3 linked regions of the Tamandua tetradactyla genome follow. The protein of the gene in region 1 interacts with the protein of each later gene in a pairwise test. Links are inferred from orthologs where the notes say so. Each region holds a gene or a part of one and is shown in the gene's direction. Other genes may lie near its edges.

The links. The genes of interacting proteins can lie anywhere in the genome.
Region 2: the proteins of PRR13 (region 1) and LGALS3 interact in binary tests that used the Homo sapiens proteins (3 or more experiments, as listed by UniProt). The two-hybrid records come from large-scale screens. The link is inferred for Tamandua tetradactyla from reciprocal best matches to the Homo sapiens genes PRR13 and LGALS3.
Region 3: the proteins of PRR13 (region 1) and SREK1IP1 interact in binary tests that used the Homo sapiens proteins (3 or more experiments, as listed by UniProt). The link is inferred for Tamandua tetradactyla from reciprocal best matches to the Homo sapiens genes PRR13 and SREK1IP1.

The regions. Positions count from the first base shown.
Region 1 is NC_135333.1:114,895,029-114,902,312, forward strand, and holds the start of PRR13 (proline-rich protein 13), read left to right. Parts: upstream 1-4,281; 5' UTR 4,282-4,409; intron 4,410-4,415; exon of another isoform or gene 4,416-4,635; intron 4,636-5,004; 5' UTR 5,005-5,024; coding exon 5,025-5,043; intron 5,044-5,424; coding exon 5,425-5,804; intron 5,805-7,234; coding exon 7,235-7,273; 3' UTR 7,274-7,284. UniProt on the Homo sapiens protein: Negatively regulates TSP1 expression at the level of transcription. This down-regulation was shown to reduce taxane-induced apoptosis.
Region 2 is NC_135338.1:10,966,063-10,973,826, reverse strand, and holds the start of LGALS3 (galectin-3), read left to right. Parts: upstream 1-4,749; 5' UTR 4,750-4,849; intron 4,850-7,764. UniProt on the Homo sapiens protein: Galactose-specific lectin which binds IgE. May mediate with the alpha-3, beta-1 integrin the stimulation by CSPG4 of endothelial cells migration.
Region 3 is NC_135335.1:112,330,739-112,338,263, reverse strand, and holds the start of SREK1IP1 (protein SREK1IP1), read left to right. Parts: upstream 1-4,510; 5' UTR 4,511-4,622; coding exon 4,623-4,635; intron 4,636-7,525. Other genes in the region: spliceosome-associated protein CWC27 homolog, read right to left, coding at 3,987-4,028. UniProt on the Homo sapiens protein: Possible splicing regulator involved in the control of cellular survival.

The DNA.
Region 1 (7,284 bases):
TCTCAAAGAGTATGTGTGGTTCTAAAATATAGACAGTCTTACTTACCCTTATGTTCTGAATTACTTCAACCCGAACCTGTTTGGCTTCATTCTTATCTCTAAATATCAGGTTATATAAATAAAACAGCCTCTCAAAATCCAGAAATAGTAATCACCACTCCAGACTGAATGTGTCTGCTCTAAAAGCTTACAATCTAGGCCCCTGCTTTCTTATGAACATTTTCTAAAGGTGACCACACCATTTTTGTTCTTTTGTTTCTGGCTTATTTTGTCTCACCAAGTGTCCCACATTGTTGCATGCCTCACTTTGTTCTTTTTTGTGGCAGCACAACCTTTGTTCATAAGTATACACCATCGTTCGCCAATCTACTTCTCCATCAGTGCATCCTTCAACCACCTGCATTCATTGGGCATCATGTAGAGGTCCCCAAGTCCACTGTCCATCAAATATTCTCAATTTTAGATAATTTCATTGTTCCCAAGAGAAAGAAAACCAATGAACACACCCTTGCCAAATAGGAAATCTAAACCTCCTCTTAACTCTTGTCACTCTCCCCATTTATTTACCTCTGCCGTTGCTGTGGTAGTGCTGATGGTTTCCTTTTGAAAATGGCTCATAACATGCAATAGCACTTTACCCCCTGTACCCTGGACTTAAACACTCTTTGTACAAGAATCATATCTTTGAAATAATTCTTGCGAGAACTGATTTATATTTCTAGTGTAAATCAGTGTGACACACAGGTCTATACAATACCTTTCGATCTTGTTCATCAATATGGTAATATTACTTATAGACCCACTAGAGAACCACCTTCACTCCTATCTATTCCCTTACATTGGAGTTCAACCTCATTAGCTAATGATTCACCCATCTCTAGCTTCTATGTATCTCTAAGTCTTCTATATTCTGTATTATAAGCCTTTGATTTTATCTTTATGCTGGTCATAAAAGTGGAATCATACAGTATCTATCCTTTTGTGTATAGCTAGTTTCACTCAGCATTATGTCCTCAAGACTCATCCATCTTGTCATGTGCACAGGATGTCATTTTGTCTTACTGCTAATTTGCCCCTTTTTAAAAGCCTTTCTATTACTGCTTTATCGCATTCTGGCAGCTTACTGACTAAAACATCCCATGTAGGGAAAAAGTAATGATTTTACTTGCACAGTTGGGCTTAGAAAGAGAGAGGCCACATCTTAGCAACAAAAGAGGTCCTCTGGAAGTAACTATTAGGCATAACTATAGGTAGGCTTAGCTTCTCTGCTACATAAATAAGAGTGACAAGAGCAAGCCTCAAGATCAAGGGCTTGGCCTATTGACTTGGGAGTCTCAAATATTTGAGATAATATCAGGGGTTTCCCCAGTGTATAGCTTAATAGTTCCATATTTTTTCTCCTGTCCCTCAAGGGACTTTGCCAATACTTTTAAATTATCTGTCCAACCTGCTCTGGGATGTATCCAGACATCACATTAAGCCATTAAAGAATTGCAAGCCCTCATTCCCCATTTGCCCATTTTTTCACTGGGTTATCTTTTTACTGTTGAGTTTCAGGAGTTCTTTATATATTCTAGGTTTTGATATATGATTTCCGATTTATGTATATTTTCTTTGGTTGCTTGTGCTCTAGTGTAGAGTCTAAGAATCAATTGTCTAATAAAAGGCCATGATAAAATTTCCTTATGTTTTCTTCTAGGAGTTTTATTTCTTACATTGAAGATGATCTTTTTTTTAAAAAAAATATTCATATTTAGTTGTGGTAAAATATAGAGAACATAAATATCATTTTAACCATTTTGTCAACAATTCTTTGGCATGAGGTACATCGATAATACTGTGCAAATTCTCCACTGTTTATTTCAAGATTATTTTCATCATCTGAAACCATAACTCATACTCATTTAGCAAAGCATCTCCATTCACCTTCCCCCAATCCCTGGTAACCACTATTCTACTTTCTGTCTCTATGAGTTTGCTTATTCTAATTATTTCATATCAGTGATATCATATAGTGTTTGTCCTTTTGTTTCTGACTTATTTTACTTAACATGATATCTTCAAGGTTCATCCATATGGTATTATATATCAGCAGTTCACTTTCTTTCATGACTGAATAATCTTCCATTGTATGGATACAGGTACATTTGTTTATCCATTGACCTGTTGATGGGGCAGTTGAATTGTTTCCACCTTTTGGTTATTGTGAATAATGCTGCAGTGAACATTGTTGTGCAAATACCTGTTTGAGTCTCGGCTTTCAATTATTTTGGTTTCTCTCCAACATTGTAATGCACATGGCAGTGTCTTCTTTCTCTTCCTGGTTCCATTGACTTCTAGCTTCTTGGTTTTCTCATGGCTTCTCTATAAACCCTCCAGTGACCAACCTGACACAGTGGTCACATGTAGAATGGTGCAGCTGCTTTGGAAGACAGTCTGGCAGTTCGGAAGAAAGAGTACTATATGGCTCAACAATTCTACTCCTAGGTATATTCTCAAGAGAATTGAAAATATATGTTCACACAAAAACTTGTACACGAATGTTCACAGCAGCAATATTCATAATAGTTCAAATCTGGAAACAATCAGTATTTCCATTAACTGATGAATGGATAAACAAAATGTGATATATACATACGATGGAATATTTTGGGGGACTAAAAAGTAATAAAGTTCTGATGCGTGCTACAACATGGGTGGGAAGGGGAATAGGAGAAGGGGTGGAGATTGACTGCTAATGGATATCAGATTTCTCTTAGGGGGGACAAAAATGTTCTAAAATTAGATAATGGCAATGGTTGCACAACCCTTTGACTATGCTAAATACCCATGAATGGTACACTTTAAACAAGTGAATTGTTTGGTGTGTGAATTATAGCTGTATAAAGCAGCTTAAACAAGACAAATAATTGTAAACATTTAAATTCTGAAAGGCACTATACCTATATAGATATATCAATAATTTCTTTCAAACTCAACAATCTTCCAAGAAAGTCATAATACACTTACATATAAATTGCCCTAGAGCTTTAAAAAATGTGGAAGACATTCCAATTAATCTCTGATATTTAGCATAACCCTCCCCCTGAAAAATCTATCAAATATACTATTGGTATGCAAGATATTACCATTGGGGGAAGCTGGGTAAAGGGAACATGGGAGTTTTTTGTTTTTGTTTTTGGGTGCGTGGTCCAGGAATCAAACCCAGGTCTCCTGCATGGAAGGCGAGCATTCTACCACTGAACCACCCGTGCACCCTAACATGGGAGTTTATATACTATTTTTGCAGTTTCTTGTGGGTCTAAACTTAACTCAAAAGAAACATTTTGAATCCAAAGGCTTTGGTTTAAGATAACAAACTCAGTGTAAAATTTATCTTTCATAGGAGATAAATATTGTATCTTGCAAATTTTGGACATATTGTTTTCATTATGGTTTAGTTCTAAGCATTTAACTCCCATCATGGTTTCCGCTTTGACCCGTGAGTTATTTGTAAGACTTTGTTGTTGTTTTAAATTTCCAGATGTATGTTTATATTTTTTATTTCACATTGTGGTCTGGACTATGGAACGTATTCTACAATTCTTTGAAATTTGAATGATTATCATTTGAGACTTGTTTGGCTTAGAACGTGACCAATTTTTATAAAAGTTCTTGAAGTGTTTAAAAAGAGTAACTATTCTTGAATTTTGGAGTGCATGGTTCTATATGTTCATGAAATCAGGTTTGTTAATTGTGTTGTTCAAAAAACGAAAAGAGGCTATTAGGGCAATTCATGTGAGAGATGATAGTAAGTTGGGAACAGGGAAGCTGGAGAGAAGTAAAGGGATTCCAGGTTCATTTGGGAGACAAAATGGACAAGTCATGGTGTTCCATGGCTGGAAGAGGTGAAGGAGACAGAGGTGTCAAGGATGATGTTTCTTTGCTTAGGGACTGAAGGAAGCCGACAATGTTGAGGGCTTAAGGCTGGGACTTGGCAGCCGGCTCTTCCCTAACGCTTTGTACTTTTGCATCACAACACCCAACATGGCGCTTCTCACACTACGCGGCTTTGCACGCACTACCGAAGGCAGGAAGGCGTTCCTTCTATGCCTCGCTGCTCCTTTGCCCTGGCCCGGCCTTCTTCTCGCCGGTCTCAACTAGCCCCACCCCCAGGAGATTACCTTCCTGCCAACTCGTTTGCACTGGTCTTGCCCTTAAATGGCCCAGCTCCGCCCCTGGTGCAATCATTTCCTCCTAGTCGGAATTACGGAGATTGACGAGTCTATTTTCCAATCATAATGCCGAATGACCACTTAGTTTCCAATTAGACGGTAGCAGAGGCGGGTGTTGAAGCATGAGATAAAGATGATCAGGAAGTGGGAGCTAAGGTTGCGACGGACTAATCAAGCCGAGGCGGTGCTGTAAAGGTGACGGAGCGTCTGGATTCCCCAGTTTCCTCCATTCTCCATTCCTGGGGCAGCGGGTCTCTTCGCAGCTTGGAACTAGGATCTCCATCCCCCCTTTTTTTATGGGGATGGGGGTGTGTCCAGATATTTAAGCGTTTGAGGATTTTTTTTTGAACCCCCTTCCTCGCTCGGCATCGAGGTGTCCTTCTCTTAGCCAGTGGTGGGGTCCTGCCTTCCCCTTCCCGGGGTTAGTAAAGTTGTTTGAGATCCTCCCTTGCCCTTGGTTAAAGTCCTCCCTACTCACTAACAGGGAAGGTGATGAGGGAACAGTGAGATTCGTGGACTCTGCCCCTCTTGTGAGGGGGATTGAGACCTCCAGCTGTGGCCAGAGGTAGTGGAAGGTGGAGGGGCAATGGGAACTAGGTTCCTGTGATTAGGGAGGGAACAAGGGATAAAATAGGCATTGAGGACGAAGGAACGAGTGGAAGAAACGTTTCTTAAGTGGAGGCAAGTGAGAGAACCCTCTCGGGCAGGAAGCGTTAGGGTTGGGCTGGGGCTCAGAATCCTCTTCCCAGCTCAGAGCCGTCCGCTTTTAGCCTCATTTCTTTCTCCTCAGGCTGGGGGAAACACCTGGACATGTGGAATCCCAGTGCAGGTAGGTGTTTGGAAGTCTCTTCTCCTATCCCCCCTCTTAACAGGAAGTTTCTATGTTAATTTTTCCCTGCTGCTCCTCTTCCCGCAAAGCAAAGTCCTTAGACTAGTGAAACCAGAGTTCACAGCTTCCCAGCTTCTGCTCTCCCCAGCCCTTCCAAGGACATTCCCTATTTCTCTCCCCTACTCCTATACTCAGGTGTGTCTATCCCATCCCCCCCCACCCCCATTCTCTTTCCTCATCATTCCATATCCCTTTAAGTAGTGGGTGAGAAACTGAGTTCCTTTGGTGTGTGTGTGTGTGTGTGTGTGTGTGTGTGTGTGTTTTGGTTGTTGCAAGAGGCCCTGGGCAGTTCTAATCTTTATTCTCTGTTTCTTTCATCAGGACAACCAGGGCCAAATCCGTACCCCCCCAACATCGGGAACCCTGGAGCTTCCAATCCTGTCCACCCACCACCTGTCAATCCTGCCTTTCCCCAGGGCCCCTTTCCCACTCCTGGAGTTCCCCAGGCAAATCCAGCTTTCCCCCCGGGTGCACTCCCTCATCCTGTGCCTCAACCAGGGTATCCGGGATGCCAACCCCCAGGCCCCTACCCACCTCCTGGTCCCTATCCCCCTCCATACCCACCAGCTGCCCCTGGCATGCCTCCTGTCAATCCCTTGGCTCCTGGCATGGTAGGACCTGGGATGGTGATGGACAAGAAGATGCGTAAGAAGATGAAGAAAGCTCATAAAAAGATGCACAAACAGCACAAGCATGGCAAGGTGAGGGTTTGTCTGAAGCCTGACTAGGGAGGGTGTGCCACCCTCAGAGGAACTGAGCAGGTGGGGGTTGGGTGAGGGAAGTTTACTGTCTGCGATCGTGGGGTGGCAGTTGTGGTTCTCTGGTAGATGATTCTTCCTTTTTTGTGAAGGATTCCCACTGGAAAGGAATCTGATACTTTTGAGAAGAATTCTTACGCTTATTAGGCCTCATATCTGGGAGGTACAAGGCTAAGGTTGAATATCAGCTCAAAAGCCACTCAGAACTTTGGCTGCCCTTTTCTGCCCCCGTGCATGTTGTGGCAAATTGGATATATCCACTGAAGTTGTCAGAATGTCAATAGGGTCAATTCTTTCGCAAAGCAAATTCTTATATAATATTTAACAGAAATAAAAATCTGGACCTCCTTGCTGAAGTTCCTTTCTCTCCTTCAGTTTTCTCCTGTTTGTTAGTTACCCGAGCCTTTTTGTCCATCAGGGAAACTGAGGACCTGAGCTAATGAGTGACTCTTAGCCTCAAACAAAGCCTGAGGCTAAGAGAGTTTCATGTTTGATCCCTTAAGGGCTAAGTATCCTTTCTTCTACAAGAACAGCTCACAGTTCAACTCTAGGAGGATTAAACCAATCTGGATCTCTTGGAGGCTTCAATTTACATCTTAAGGCCTAGTATTTATTTGCCCTGTGGATGTGGGCTCTAATTCCTGATTGTGGGTCTTTCGTGGAAATCAGAGGTGATAGAAAGGTGAGATTAAATGGGGGGAAAATTACCCCAGTGACTTAAAAATGGGTTTATTGTTGATTTGGAGTTATGTATGTGACAACCCTTGAATAGGCTCCCCTATTTTTTTCTGGAGCCTGACTAGGGAGGGTATGCCTGGTCAGGCTCCAGAAAAACACTAGGGACTGTGCAGGTAGGGGTTGGGTGAGGGGAGTTTACTGTCTGCAATCCGGGGTGGCAGTTGTGGTTCTCTCACTTTCCTCACTTTCTCCCAGTTGGGTTTGGGAAAAGTAGAGCTGCATGCACACACAACTGCTGTTTCTACTCAGTTTTCTTAAATTTGTAGCCACTAGGGACTTTTCATACAGTTAATCAATAAGTATTTGTAAGGCAGCAGCCGCTTTCCTAGCACTGTACTAAGCTTGTGCTTATTATTTATTCCTTGCCTAGGTATTAACTCAAGGTAAAGAAAGTGGAAACTTGCTTTAAAAGTAATGCATTAAATTCTCTGCAATGATTTGGAATGGTTTAATCCATCCCTGTTTGCGCTCTGTCGAAGGAAACCCTTGCCTTTTCTGTATACGGGAAAGTCTGGTTCAAGACTCCTGGAAGCAAGGGGCACTGGGTGGAGGGATGAGGCACCAAAGGTTGGCCACTGGGATGGTCAAAGGTCATTTGGATCTGATGCTATCTCCTCTCCCGTTTCCCCTTGCAGCATTCCTCCTCCTCCTCTTCCAGCAGTGACTCTGACTGAATACAGGGTCT
Region 2 (7,764 bases), on another chromosome or scaffold:
AGGATGACAAGAAACCTTCTCAGCTCCATCAAGTGTGTCCTTCACATGGACATTTCCTTCTTACAGAGGAAAACTGGATGAAAGAATTTGCTTTTGCATACTTTATTATTTGACTAATTTCGAAAACCTGGTTTTCTCTTTGGTTTACATAGACAAGTCCCTGCAGATTTCTTTGGTGTGTTTTTTTGAGATCATTTGTAAAAGTTGGGACTTCTGAATTCTGATGCTGAACATGGATGAAAAGTAAATAATTTTCCCTGACAGTCAAGGCAAGACAATAGCACTGATTTATTTTCTCCACCAAAAAGAAAAGATGACGTTAAAAGAAAAGTATACATAGAATAATTTGAATTTACTATGCAAGATATATTAAGAAGTTGGCTGATAATGGAGTTGCTTTGAGACTAGTTCTATTTATCCAAAAAAAAAAAAAGCAGTCAATTTTTAGTCAGTTCTATGAATTGAATTCTTTACTCTTTTAGTTTTTTATCATCTTAAGGGGCATCAGAGGAAAGGGGTTGAAAACGATAAAATCTTACCCACTGTTGGTGGGAATGTCAAGTGGTACAACCACTGTGGAAGGCAGTTTGGCGGTTCCTCAGGAAGCTAAGTATAGAATTGCCATATGATCTGGCAATACCATTGCTAGATATCTACTCAGAGGACATGAGAGCAAGGACACAAATGGACATTTGTACACCAATGTTTATAGCAGCGTTATTTACAATTGCCAAGAGATGGAAACAGCCCAAATGTCCATTAACAGACGAGTGGCTAAACGAGCTGCGGGTATATACATACGATGGAATATTATGCAGCTGTAAGACAGAATAAAGCTATGAGGTATGGATCTTGAGGACATTATGCTGAGTGAGATTAGCCAGAAACAAAAGGACAAATACTGTATAGTCTCACTGATATGAACGAACATCAGTGAATGAACTTAGAGAATTTCAGTTAAGAACAGAGACCATCAGGAGATAGAAATAGGGTAGATTTGGGGTAATTGGAACCAAAGGGATACAGATTGTGCAATGGGACTGATTGTAAAAATTCAGAAATGGACAGCACAATACTACCTAACTGTAATACAATGTTAGAACACTGAATGAAGCTGAATGTGAGAATGATAGAGGGAGGAGGGCTGGGGGCACAAACGAAATCAGAAGGAAAGACAGACGATAAAGACTGAGATGGTATAATCTAGGGGTGCCTAGAGTGTATAACGATAGTGACTAAACGTACGAATTTAAAAATGTTTCTGCATGAGGAAGAACAAAGGAACGTCAATATTTCAGGGTGTTGAAAATAGATGGTAATTAATATTTTAAAACTTTAACTTATGTGTGAGACTAAAGCAAAAAATGTTTATTTGGTATGAAATTTATATTTTGACTAGTGCATCTCCTAATATGACTTTTGTGGACAGTTTAACTGAATGCTACAAGCACATGGAAACTTGAGTAGGGCATGAGATTTTGTAGGTTCGTCCAGAGTGATGTCCTGATAAACCCGAGTGATTTGAACAGTGAATAAAAAAGTATTTGCAAAGTCCCCTTGGGGGAATGGTGAGAAAGGGGGAAAATTCAACTTCCCCAAGTGGAGAATTCTTGATATTCTCACAAGCAGTGGGCACAACTGAAGCAAAAAAAAAAGGAAAAAAAAAACACAATAACATCAAACAGTCCACTGGATTTTTCTCCAGTGCTCACAAACTTGTTCACTTAGCAAATATTTGTTGAGTGGCACTTGGGAACATCAGTGAACAATGTAACAAAGTACTGTGCCCTCAGGGAGGGGTGCAGGAAGGAAAAGCAGGGAGAAATCAAGGATAACAAACACACATAGTAAATAAGTAAATTCTAGAGCTGATAAGGGCTGTGGAAAGAAAGAAAAATTAGAGGGGGTAAGAGGGGTTGGCAGTGGGAGGTGGTGGATTTGATTCTACATAGGGGGGGCAAGAGGACACCTCATGGAGAAGGTGACATTTGAGTAAAGGCTTAAAGTAGGTGACAGAGTGAGTAGATGACAGGAGGAGAGTATTCCAGCTATAGGGAACAGCCAGGGCAAGGATGCAAAGTCAGGAGTGCCACAGGAACAGCTTTTGGGGGCAGGAGTGGCTGGGGTGGGCTGAGCAAGTGGGAGGTAAGAGGAAGAAAGGTCAGAGTGAAATTCCAAATTAAAATGCTCACTTCTTTAATTTTTCCTTAGTAGCAATACAGCTTTATATATGACCTTATTCTTTGTCCCCTGACATTATAAGGTCCCAGGTAGCCAGTATCATGAGGCCACTCACATTGCCTAATATAATCCAACTTCATAGTTGCAGCCCATTGTCAATCATCCATTTTGCAAACAATCATTTACCCTCTTTTTTAGAGTAGCAAGCTACTGCTATTTTTTATAAAATGTAATTCAGGCTCTTCATTAATCTCTATCCCTCAATCACATTGTTTCAGTGAGATTATATCACTATCACGTTCCCATTTTCGATTTTTTATTTACTGAGTGCCCAAAACATAGACCACGTGTATTGTGTCACAAAATTCGATCACAAACACCAGTGGGCCAGTTCCAGCCAGGTCTCATTTGTCCTGCTTGAGGTTACGGGCTTCCCATAACACTTCGGTTCTTCTAAGAGCAGGGCTGTTCTTCCTCAGCAGGCCCCCTCTCCTGAGGACCCGTCAGCCGGGCAGCTCCAGCCTGCTGCAGCATCTGCCTGTGTCTGCTCTCCCCGCCCCGTGGGAGAATGCTAATGCCTATCCCATGGGGCTGTCTCTGGAAGTCTGCAGTGACAGCACTGCCCTGGGGTGGGAGTTAGCCTCCCTTCGGGGGACTGTACTCTGTCACCTGGGCCTTGATGCGGGCGTCTCTCAAAGCTTTCCAGATCCATCAACTTCTGGCCTACTCCCACTGCCTGGGGCTCCAACCAAACGAGCAAAAGAGGCTAGGCTGAGAGCGGGTGCAGACATTCCTTCTCTAGACTTGACTCCATTCTCTAGTACCAAAATCCTTTCCTCTAGCCCCAAATCTAAAAACTCCCAGGTGTATCCACTCAAGCAGTACGGAGGCTCTCTCACACATGCTATCAACCAGACACAGGATCCCAGTTTCAGAGAGGAGACTCTACTACTGAACTGAAATATCACACAGAAAGCACTAGAGATAAAGGGGTAGAAAGAGTAATTCTTCTTCATTCCCTCAGAGATCATTTTACCTTGTGGGCAGCCATTCTTTACATTTCTGAATGACCCTTCCAAGCTCCTTTTAAATCTACAACTTTCTGTGGCCTGGTGGTGATGGCATTTTGTTTGTTTTTGCTTCAGCTGGTTGAGCAGTGAATATTCAACACCTTATTTCTTAGACCCTGACACACTTTCAACTTGATCGATGTTATGATCACGGTCATATCTACTTTTCTGTGCCTCTGTTTTCTCACCTGTAAAATGGGGACAAAAATAACACCCATCTCATATAGGTATGTAAAGTACTGCACATAGTTCAAGAGACATAACTGCTCAATTAATATAGTTGTTTTAATTATTATCTGAATTAAAACAAACAGACAAACCTTGGACATACCTAACCATTTTACTCAGTTATTACCCAGTGAAGTGTTTGCAACCAAATATCACCTCCCTTCAGCAAGTACCATTATTTGCTGTAGCAACCTTTCCTACATTTGTAATTTTGTCCTTTCCCACCGTAACCAAAGGTAATTTTTGCATTTGCTCATTGTCCCATTCTCCAATCTGTGAGAAAACAGACATTCTGACTTCCTAAGATGTCATTCATTCTTTATTTCTTTTCTTCATTCATTAAACAAATATTCACCGGGATCCTACTACGTGCGAAACCTAGGGGCAGACGCTGAGGATACAGGGCTTACAAAGAGCAGAACGACCCCGCGTGTCCCCACATCACAGGTTTGCTGGACCCAGGCCAGGAAGGCGAATGAACACCTTCAAAGGGGAAGAATGTGGACACGTCTCCCTCAGCGGCTCAGAAAACTTTCTGACAGAACCTCCTGGTCACACTCAAATCAGTGTGATATTTTACGTACAGGAAATCCGTTTATTTGTATATAAAACATAATTACTTAAGAAATTTTTACGAAATTCCACATTTCTTACCCATTTACTCGTATAACCCACGTCAGCTTCACACAGACTCAGGACATATTTGAATCAGGAGCTCAGAATATCAAGTACGAACTCGGAAACTACTTCCTCAAAAAAAAAAAAAAAAAAAATCAAGCGTATAGGATGCAAAGTCAGGATAACTTTATGGAAGAGGTTTGTGGTTTTTGTTTGCTAAAATGCCTTTCTTTTTTTCCAGGGTGCAATTCTTGGGACGACTTTGATGCTGAGAGAGAGTTAAAGGTAAAGCAAAATGAGGGCGGGATGCGACTGCCTGGGATTCGGGCAGGAAATAACCGAACAAGGTAAAACAAGCAAGCGGGCCGCACGCAAAATCCCCCAGCGACCCAAACGCCCAAAACTTCGCAAACTTTCCCCGCGGGCCGTCGGCGTCCGCGGCGGAGTCCGACGAGCGCGCGGGCCATGCGGCCACGCCCAGTATCCCGGGACCGCCGGGGACGGACCCCGGGCCGCGGGCGTCGCCCTTCGTGGGGGCGGAGCCTCTGGCCCGTCGTCCCCGGCCGAGCGCCCCCCGGAGCGGCGCGCGCGGGGCGGACACCCGGGGGCGGGGCGGGGGTGGGGAACCCTGCGGCCGTCACGCCCCGGGAGAGGCGGGGCGGGGTGGGCGTATTTGAGGCGCGGAGCCGCCGTCGGGCCGGGAGCGCCCCGGGAGCGAGCGGGAGAGCCACGTAGCGGAGGCCGAGGCGAGGGTGAGCGGCGGGGCCGCGCGGGAGGGAGCGCGGGGGCGCGGGCGCCGCTCGGGGCGTGGCGGTTCTCGGGAGGGCTCGGCCGAAGCCGGGGAGGGAGGTTGGCTGCGCTCTGCGGGCGCCGTCCCGGGGCGGGGCGCGGAGCCTCGGACGTTCGAGGGGCCCGAGACGGGGCCCGAGACCGGGCCCAGGTAGCCACGACCGACGGAACTTCGCGCTCAGGGCGAGCGGGCGAGGCGGCGGCCGCTGGGCGAGCCGGGCGCCGGCCGCTTTCTGGGCGCTCGGAGGACGCACCCCGGCCGCACCCGGGCCCCACCCTCCCGCTGCCTCCGCCGTCTGTGGTTTATGGACGTGGAGTCTCTCGGAACCCGAGTTGGGCCACTTCCGAAACGGCTTGGTGCAAATGCAAGCAAGCGTGCTGCGGCGGGACCCCCGCATCCGACCAAGCAGCCCCCTCTCTTCCGGTATTAGAAACCAGGCGTAGGGCGGCTTTTGGGACCTGTGATCCCGCTGCCCGGGCCACTTTTATCTCTACAAGGAGATCTTGGTGAGGGCAGGAAAGAGTTCTAACAGGCCCAACAGTCCCGAGACAGGGGTTGCGGCCAGCTTTCTGAATGTGGATTCCACGGAAAAGGGTGCTGCCCTCCCCACCCCACCCCCAGGCGTCCGGAGCATGCGTCGCTTTTGCAAAGTCTGCACACCCTAAACTGTTAAGTGACTCATCCCTGCCCAGTTTGGCTACTTTGGGCCATAAAAGCTCATATCTGTGCTAGGGATGTGTCAGGAGCGGCAGAATTGTGCAGAGCCTCAGCTGGGGGGTTTTAAAACGTGTTTGAGGATATATTCTGAATTATCAGCTTATCAAACAGAAGTAAAAATGCGGCCACTGGCGGTTGGGTGCTAGATGCTAGAGAGACAGGCACCTATCGGTGGACTTGGGTCCCCCAGCCCTTCAGAGCCAGCCATTCCTATTTCAGATACTGTGGAATATTTGTAAAATGGGTCGTGGACAGTGAGGTCAGCTGGACTTCGGTGACCCAGTCTCCTTCTGGGATTCTGGGAAAAGAAGGGCAGGCAGGCTTTTTTAATTCTGAAGAAAATGAGAGAGAGAAAATGAACTACTTGGGTGCAGTGCATCAGAGAAAAATCCCACCATCTTCCAAAATTTTGATTTGTATGCCTCATGTTTAGAAAGTTTTCTAGGAAAAGTATTTGTTCCCATAAAAGTTAAAGTTTAATAATAAAAATTTATTTTCCCACGAAAAATGGTCTCCTTTTTAGCCTTTGACTTTGAATTTTTGGAATGGGACTTTCATTTCTTTGATGGTCCTGCCTCATCCTTGATCTTTTGGAGATTCGAGCTGGTTCCTAAATTCATGTTTTGATGGTTTAGAAGCAGCGCTTCTTCCATATCCTGGGAGAAAATTTGATGATGGTGCATGAATGTTTAGGGTTTAGAAGTGTTAGGAGGTTGCCTCATGAAGTAAAATAAGTAGCAGAAAAGGGGGCATTCTGCCCTGCCTGGTGGATTGACCCTCAAAGCTAGTCGTTTTCAAGTAGAATGGGAAGCCTCGCTCTACTGAGACTTGACTTCCTATCAAGAAGAAATGACTTCCTATCATTTAATCATTGATAGTTCGCAGTGCTACGGATACACATAGGAGCTTCAGGCAGACTTCTGATCTATTGCTAAGGATGTCAAGAGGGCCAATCTCATCTGTAATTTAGATCCTGTTTGCCTAGAACCTTCATGAACCAGACGCTGAGTTTCCACTGCGACAGAGACCTATCATCAGAGAGTATAACTTGAGTACCCTGTGCCGGCTTTAAGTATTAGTAAGCTTGTGAACTGATGGACCTGCAAACTCGTGGTAATTGAATAACTAACTCATGAGTTCTATTGAGCTCTGTGTGTGTAGTGCCTGAAGTGGTTCTTCTCATTAAATTCTGAGTAGGTAACAGAAGAGCCTTCCAGGGCAGTGCTTGCTGTATACTTCCAATTGCGTTGGACTAAGTATCATGTTCTCTCTTGACTACTGTTCAGCTTTTCCATAAGGGAAAAAGAACCAGTAACTGAGAAGCACAAAGTAATTTTGCCTCCCTTGCTCCTGAGGAACTAGCATGAGAAAGAAATCCCAGGAAAGGATGGGTCTCCTTCACCCCGCTTAACATGGGTTGTGGAAAGTGGACTTTCCCCCAGCTCCGCTGAGTGTTTCAGGAAGTAGACCCCCCCTTTGTGTTCCTTAGGGAGGAAAGTGGTGCAGGGTTCTGGGGTTCTGAGGTAATACATTCATCATCTACTTCCATTAACATTTCTGTAACGGTCAGGGCCCCTCGAGCAAAAATTTCAGAACTGTGCCTGATAACCCAGATGAGTGGGTCCATTGCTAGGGTGGCCTAGAATTGCATGGTACGGTAAGCTACTCGATGTTAAAGGGAAGAGCTACCAGCTACCAGCCAATGAAAATGATCTACATTTCGGCACCTGTTTAAGTTCCTCATTCTAAAGCTACACTGAATTACTGTAAGTTTTCCAAATATGGAGACCCAGGTAGGATTTCCCATTTTGGGGGTGCCTTGTCTTTCGTGCAGTGTTTCTTTTCTGGTTCTTCAAAATTCTCTGATTCTGGGAAGGCCAGAATGGAGTTTTCATATCTCTGGAGCAGGGAGATTTTTTCTTTTACATTTAATTGGCCTTCTCTCTGTAAACTGCTTCATCTGGGGGGAAAAAAGTGTAGCTAGAAATTTTTCAGGCAGCTAGATGCTAATTTTAAAATAGATGTCTTAAAAAAAATGTTCTGAGGTTGTCCAGCTTGATTTCAAAAGAGCATTGTTACAACTCTTTTCAAAAAAAGAGATCTGATGGTAGAGGTTGACATAACCCAAACAGCGTGTTCCCAGTTTTTGGAACACTTGTT
Region 3 (7,525 bases), on another chromosome or scaffold:
TAATTTTACTTATTAACAGTACAATTATAGCTTTACCAATATATATATATATATAATCCACAAACCATAAAATTTACCCCCTTAAAGTATACAATTCAGTGGTTTTTAGTATATTCAGAGTTGTACAATCACTGCGACTGTCTGATTCAGATGTGATCACCACATAAAGAAGCACTATACCCATCAGCAGTCACTCCCCATTTTTCCTACCTGCAGCCCCTGGTAACCACTTACCTACTTTCTATAGATTTCACAATTCTGGGCATTTCATATAAATGGAATCACACAATATGTGGTCTTTTGTGTCTGACTGCTTTCATTTAAGATAATGTTGCTTTTAAATTGAAGAGTTCTGTCTTCCTGTTCAAGATGCATAGATTTTAAATGTCTTGAAAATCATGATGGCTTTATACTCTCATTAATAAATATTCAAGGCACAATATAAACCTAAGACAACTTCACCATTAACAATAATAAATAAAAATCCATATTTAAATGGTTTTCATGATAATTTCTAATTTTCAAGACTTCCCATGCTGAGGTGTCAGCTCCATCATTTTCTTACTCTTTTCTTTCATGTATGTGATTAATACTATATTCAATATGAAATTTGAAGGACTGGTTTAGTTAATCTAGATACCACCATCTGTAAATCCATTTAGCTAGGCATTAGGAAAAATTACATCATCATGATATACAGTTAACGAATGACTGTACTTATATGTTCTTTTGCATGTAAAAAATATTACATTTAAACAAATAAAAAAGGAAATAAATACAAATAAAAGAATGTCGACTTTTTCTCTATGTATAGACTGCTTAGAACAGCACCTAACAGGACAACAAATCTTCAGAAAATGGTAACCATTATTGCTGCAAGTACTCTTCTTACACATTTTGTTTGTTTTGTTTTGTTTTGCTACAGGGAACATTTACCTAGCAAAAAGAATGTGTAAATAAATGGTCACCTTGCCTACAAAGGTTTCTTCATTTTTTCACTGATAAACTACTGAAGAAGGCACATGGATCGCCCTCCTTTGGCCATAGATTTCCTTGGCAATAGTATTTGTCAGTTCTCAGTGATTCTTTTTGTTAAAGCTGCCAAATAAAACAATATTTCAATAATAACATGTTTCTTAAGAACATATATATGTTAATATACAATTTAGAATAAAGTATCAGAATATGTGGAAATTTCAAATTCAGTGGATCATCCCCTATGCTTTCAGGAAATTTCTATTAGGTGCTACATTTCTGTGTGAGGGTTATAGTTCATTTAGGGACAACAGCCAAGGGTCAACCATTGGTGCAATTCTCAGCTATTTGTCAATTATGCTTCCCAAGCTGATTTGATGTTCTTTGAAGAGAAGAATTTTTTTCCCATTGATTCTGGATATCTCTGTAATGCTTTCAGAAACCAATGCACCATTAAACAGCACAGGTATGAAACAAACATTTACTGAGCAGACTTGTCATTACAGGTGCTTTAAATTCCTGCAAGACCAAAATTCTTGCCACACTCTCTACAGTACACTTTAGTTGCCACACTTCCTACAGTATAGAACTTCAGGGCTTCAATCTCTTCAATAATCCTTATGTTGTTAAAGTTCCCAAATTGTTTTTGGACAAAACTTGGGCCCTGCCTGAGGTTCTCCCTCAGTCCACTACTGTCCAAAAGATTAACATTATTCACCACAGTATGCAATTACGTGTTTATTTGCATGATTATTTGGTCAACACATATGTCACCAAGGTAACTCCATGATGACAGGGACAATGCTGTTTTTTCTTTCTGTTGTATCCCTAAAACCTTGCATAGAGCCTGGTATGTGTTCGGTGCTCAAAAAATATTTGTTGATGAATAAATGGTTTTCTATTTAGGCATGTAACCTTGTTAAGCTTTTCATCTATATGACCATGCTAAGTCTTCCTCAAAAAAGCAAGTCAGCCTGCACTTAACCAGTCACAGTCTACTTAAACCCACCGACGCTTAATACTTCTCAGAAGCTAAGAGAAATAACATTCATTCATTTATGCAATACATATTTGAACTCCTACTATGCATCAAGCACTGTTCTAAGTACAGTGAACAAAGCAAAATCTCTGCTCTCAGAGAACTTGCATTCTCTGAGGGAAGGGGATGCACGATAAACAAGAAAATAAGTACTACAGAAAAATAGGTTCAGGGGGCCAGGGAATGCAGGGATGCAGGGCATGACTACTATATGCTATGTCATAGAAGGTGTCTTTGTCAGGGTTCTGTAGGGAAACAGAACCAAAAGGACGTATCTGTTGAGATATATACTATGAGATTTTTATAAAAATTGTCTTATACAACTGTGGGGATGCATAAGTCCAAATTCCAAAGGGCAGGTCACAAGCCAGGAAATCTGGGGAAGGTTTTTGATGAATTCTCTGGGGGAACCTTGGAATTCTACTCGGCTGGCTGAAGTGGAGATAGAAATTCTTCTGACTGCTGAAGTCATCACGTCATCTTTTAAAGTCTTGAACTGATTGGATGATATATCTCTCAGTGTGAAGGCCATCTCCTCAGTTGACTGTAGATGTCATCAGCCATAGATGCAATCAATTTACTGATGATTTACGTCCACAAAACGGCCTCACAGGAACCATCAGGATGGTGCTTGCTTAACCAAATAGCCGGACACCACCCTCTGGCCAAGCTGACACATGAACCAACCATCACGGAGGGCAAATAGGAAAGGCCTCTTTTTTAGGATGACATTTGAGCAGGCAGAAGAACAAACCAAGGAGAAGAGCAAGTGTGAAGCCTCTGCCTGGCAAGATGGGTAATTTATTCAATCTTCTGCCAGGTTTTATCACCTGGGGGTAATATCATCCCCAAGAAACATTTGGAAAAACGAGGGGATAGTTATTTGGGGTTTTGACAATGACATGGGGGAAAGGGAGAATGCTAATCTGGAGTGCCCAGGAGAAGGTCAAACAACAAAGAATTAATTCTGCCCATAATTCCCCTTAAAATATTTGCCAAGGATATTTCATTACAGAAACTTTTTGTACGTTTACAAATTGCTCTCATTATATTACCAAATGACCATCAATAGAAGATTGCATAAGTAATTTATGATACAGTCATGCAACAGAACTGTACTGTAGGCAAATTTCGTTTACCCTAATCAAACCACATACTTTAAGTCCCACTATTTTCTTCATAATATTTCACATATGATATAGACTAGGTCTCAGTTCAAGAATGCAAATGACACTAATCCCATCGTTAACTTCTCTGCCTCATACTGCATACAAACACCGTGGATGGGAATTGACGTACCTTGACCACCAAATCGATCAGGACCCTAACCTCCCATTCAAATATGGGAACACTCCCCATTCTCCACTTTCTCTGACTGGCAATTATCTCGTGTTTTAATTTCAGCTCCAAGAAGCTTTTCCTAACTTTTCCAGCGGCTCACTCCTCAGTACTGCCATAGAACAATGATTCTGTTTCCACAAGGATGCCTACTAGACGTATATGGAAGCTTTTTCTTTAGGGCTTGTCTTGTAAACTTAACTATGCGCTCTTCCAGGGCAGTAACTAGGCCTACCCATCTCTGCATCCCCAGCGCCTAGCACAGCACCCGTGCACAGCAAGAACTCAACAAATGATTGCAGAACGGATGCGAAAAGGAGAGCTCTCCAAGCCAAGAAAATAATATGTTAAATTTCATATTTTGCTTCTAAAACCCTAAGACCCTCGTAAACGCCTGCACGAGTTGGGTCGGGGGCAGAAGGCCCCGCGGCGAGGGCAATGGAGGAACTCTCCACCCAAGCTCTTGGTTTTCCAATCCATGCTATGAGTGTTCAGTACGGCTTTCGACGCCTCGTCCCGAGACAGGGGGACGACGACACTCCCTGTGGCCTCTTCCATCCCGAACACCTCAGAGCCCTCCTAGTGGGAGAGGGCTCGCTTCCGGGAGCCCAGAGGCCCCAGGTGAGGCGCTCACCTTCCCGTTCGTGGGAGGCTCCTGGATGTAGATGTTGCTCATCCTTGTCGGTGCTCAGGGCTCTACTTCGAAGTCCGCAAAACTCCGGTCAACGAACGCTACCGCGGAGGAGTTCACGCTCCCTGGAGGAGGCGGTCGCGGAGAGCTCCAGTAAGCCGAGGCCCTGAAAGACAGCGACGCCGCGCCCTGGGCCCGCCAACCTAGCCGCTCACGCATGCCGCCATGTTGCTCCCGGACCCGAACACCGCTAACCCCGATAAGGGGGATTCCGATATCCTCCAGGGAAGGAGAAAAGAGTCTTCAGCGTCTATAGCGTAAAGTTATTCGTATTTAAAAAGTTAAAGAACCATCTTGAGTCTTCGTGGTGTTCACTTTCGCCACACACCTGTGTCGGTCACACACACGCACCCCTCAGGAGTTGGCTGTAATGGTTCAGGCCAAATGTTCGCTGCACCGTGACTCGCCCGGAAACCACAGCGGCGACGCCTTGGTTCCGCCGTCGCCAGGGGCTTAGCGGCCCTTCCGGGCCTCTCGCGGAGCTTCGGCGGCGCTGCGGCGAGGGCGAGGCCGCTTCGGCCGGGCGTTGTCCCCGCGCCGGCGGGACGCGCGCACCCTTGACCCCCTGTTGCCAGCACCATGGCAATCCCAGGTGAGGACGGCCTGCCGGGCTCGGACGGGAGCGGGAGCGGGGAGGGGGCGGTTGGGATGGGAGAGGACGATGCCGGGCGCCTTCGGGCGGAGGCGCCGCGCCGCCGCTGGGTTGCGGGGCTCGGGGGCAGCAAGTGCCGGCTCCCAGCCCCACGCTGAGAGCGGGCGGAAGCCGTCTCCCCGCCGCGGACAGGCGTCTTCCCCGCAGAAACGCTGGGGGGGAAAGGAGGAGGAAGGGCAGCCCGTGGAGGCCCGAAGGGGTGGCAGGCCTCGGCCGTCGCTTCGGGGTGGCTTAGAGATGCCATTCGAATGGGCGCGCGTGGCGACCCCGCGGGTCCCGGGCGTGGTGGCGGGCGTGGGGTCGGGCCCTGCGGGCGCCCGGGGCTCCCCCTCCAGCGCTTCCGCTTGCCTGTGGCCGCAGACCGTTCCCTTTGCTCTTCTGGGCCTCGTTGGGTCAGAGGAGGCGCTTGGGTGAATCCTGTCGGTTTCTTCCCCGTGTCAGGTTCTGTGTGTAAAGGGTGCTCATTGCCACCCGTGAACCCTGCAGTCCGAGTGCTTCGGAGCCTTCCCCGCCCACAGCTGCTGTCTGCCTTAGACGTCCAGCGGGGGTGAGCATCTCCTGAGACTGGCCTGTGCCACAGCGTTCAGTGCAGGAGATGTATGCAGAAATACACGCCCTCTGCCCCCCGCTTGGAGGTTAACAATGCACTTGAGCATAGGATTCTGAGAAGTGCTGTGGTTCAGAAGCGTTTGTCCTGTGGCAGCCTTGTCCTGAAGTGTGTTCTGCGGACAGCTGTTACGGTACAGCTGTGCTTTTCTGCTGGCTTGCGGCTTTGAGAGGAACACATACTGAGCTGTGAGAGAGGAAAAATGCACACATTCATACACTGACAGCTTTACTGCCTGTCAGGTGTCAGGCACTGTGGTGGGCATTGGGGATAAAACGGTGTTTTAGTTTGCTAATACTGCCAGAATGCAATACACCAAAAATGGATTGGTTTTTATAAAGGGGATTTATTGAGTTACAAGTTTAGAGGTCTAAGGCCATTAAAAATTTACAAACTAAGGCATCCAAAGAAAGATACCCTGACTCAAGATAGGCCTGGAAGACCTCTGTCAGCTGGGAAAGCATATGCTTGGTGTCTGCTGGTCCTTTGGCTTCTGTTTTCAAACTGCTTCCCTGGGGCGTTTTCTTCCTGCATCTCCAGATGTCTCTGTCTGTGTCGGCTCTAAGCTTTTCCCAAAATGGCTCCCTCTTAAAAGGACCCCAGTAAGCCCAGTAAGACCTACCTTGAGTGGGCAGAGATGCATCTCCTTGGAAACAACTTAATCAAAAAGATCCCACCCAAACAATAGGTCTGCCCCCACAAGATTGAATTAGAAAGAAGAACATGGGTTTCCTGGGGTACAAAACCATTTCAGTGGTAAGCAAGAAAGACATGGACCCTTTTACACAAAACCTACAGTTTAACAGGGAGAGAAAAAATAGTACTAGAAAGTAAGACAAGTACAGAACCTTAGGGAGCATCTAGGAGTTGCACAGATGACTTTCCCAGAGGAGTCCAGAGAGTTGCTGAAGAGGGGGATGGAGGGAAACATGCAATCAAAGGGACTTTATGTAATGGACCAGTGAGAAGAAGGATGAAAGAGGTTCACTGGGCGCTATGGATGGAACTCTAAGGACAAATGGGAGAGAAGTGAGAAATGAGCTAGAAAGATAATAACAATAGCTATTATTTGCTGACCATTTACTATGTGTCAGATAGTGTTCCAGACACTGTGTCAAGTGGTTTGTTATTTTTTCTCATTTAACATTCACAACCGCACTATGAGATACATACTGTTATCCCGTTTTTACAGAGGATGAAATTGAGGGACAAAGAAGTCAAGTGATTTGCCTGTTGTGAGACAGCTGGATGGAGCTAGATCAGATTGGCTTCTTTAGACCCCATGCTCTTATCCATTTGCCATGCTATATTAACTTAAAAGGTGACTTCCAGCTCTTGAACAAATTTGTAAGCCATGACAAGGAGTTTAGACTTTATCCTAAGGGTGTTTGGAGATCATTTATGTGTTTTTAAACAGATTCATGATTTGAAGGGATCATTTTGGCTGCACAATAGAGGGGAGATAGTTTGAGGCATTCACCAGTTAGGAATAATTCTGGTGAATTGCAATGACTCCTCACTGAAGTATGGTGTCAATAGGAGTGGAGAGAAGCAGACAGATTGGAGATACGTTTTTGGAGGCAGCGTCACTAGGAAGTGTGATTTATCTAGAAATCACTGTTAGACATTTGGGCAGGGCCATTTACTGATGTAGGCAACATTGGAGAAGGAGCAGGTTTTAAGGGGGAGGATTATAACTTCAGTTTGGGGCGTGTTGATAATGGGAGTATCCAGCAGTCATTTAGTGATATAAATTTTAGGTTAGCAAAGAAGCTGAGGTAAGAGGCAATGATTTTGGTGTCATTCAGTGCCACCCAAATGTCTGTATTAAATAGGTGTTAAGGCCATGAGAGTAGAAGTCTGCTCAGGAGAAATGTGTAGAGTGTGAAAGGTAAGCCTGTGACTGAAGCCTGGGGAAGATCACTATTTAAGAGACCAGGAGAGAAAGAAAGGCTGCACAGCTGATTGCTCAGACATCTTCATAAGCCACATCAGCCCTGTTGATCCATGGGAAGACAGTTGTTAAAGATTGACACAGTTATATCTAAAGTTGGCTGATGTCACCACTGATTTCACTAGTTGAGCTGCATGCTGTTGGCACTCAGAAAGATACAATGTTACAGTCTGTGGCCACAGTTGTATCTAAAGTTGGCCTGATGTCACCATTGATTTCATGAACTGAACTACATGCTATTGGCACTCAGAAAGACACAATGTTACAGT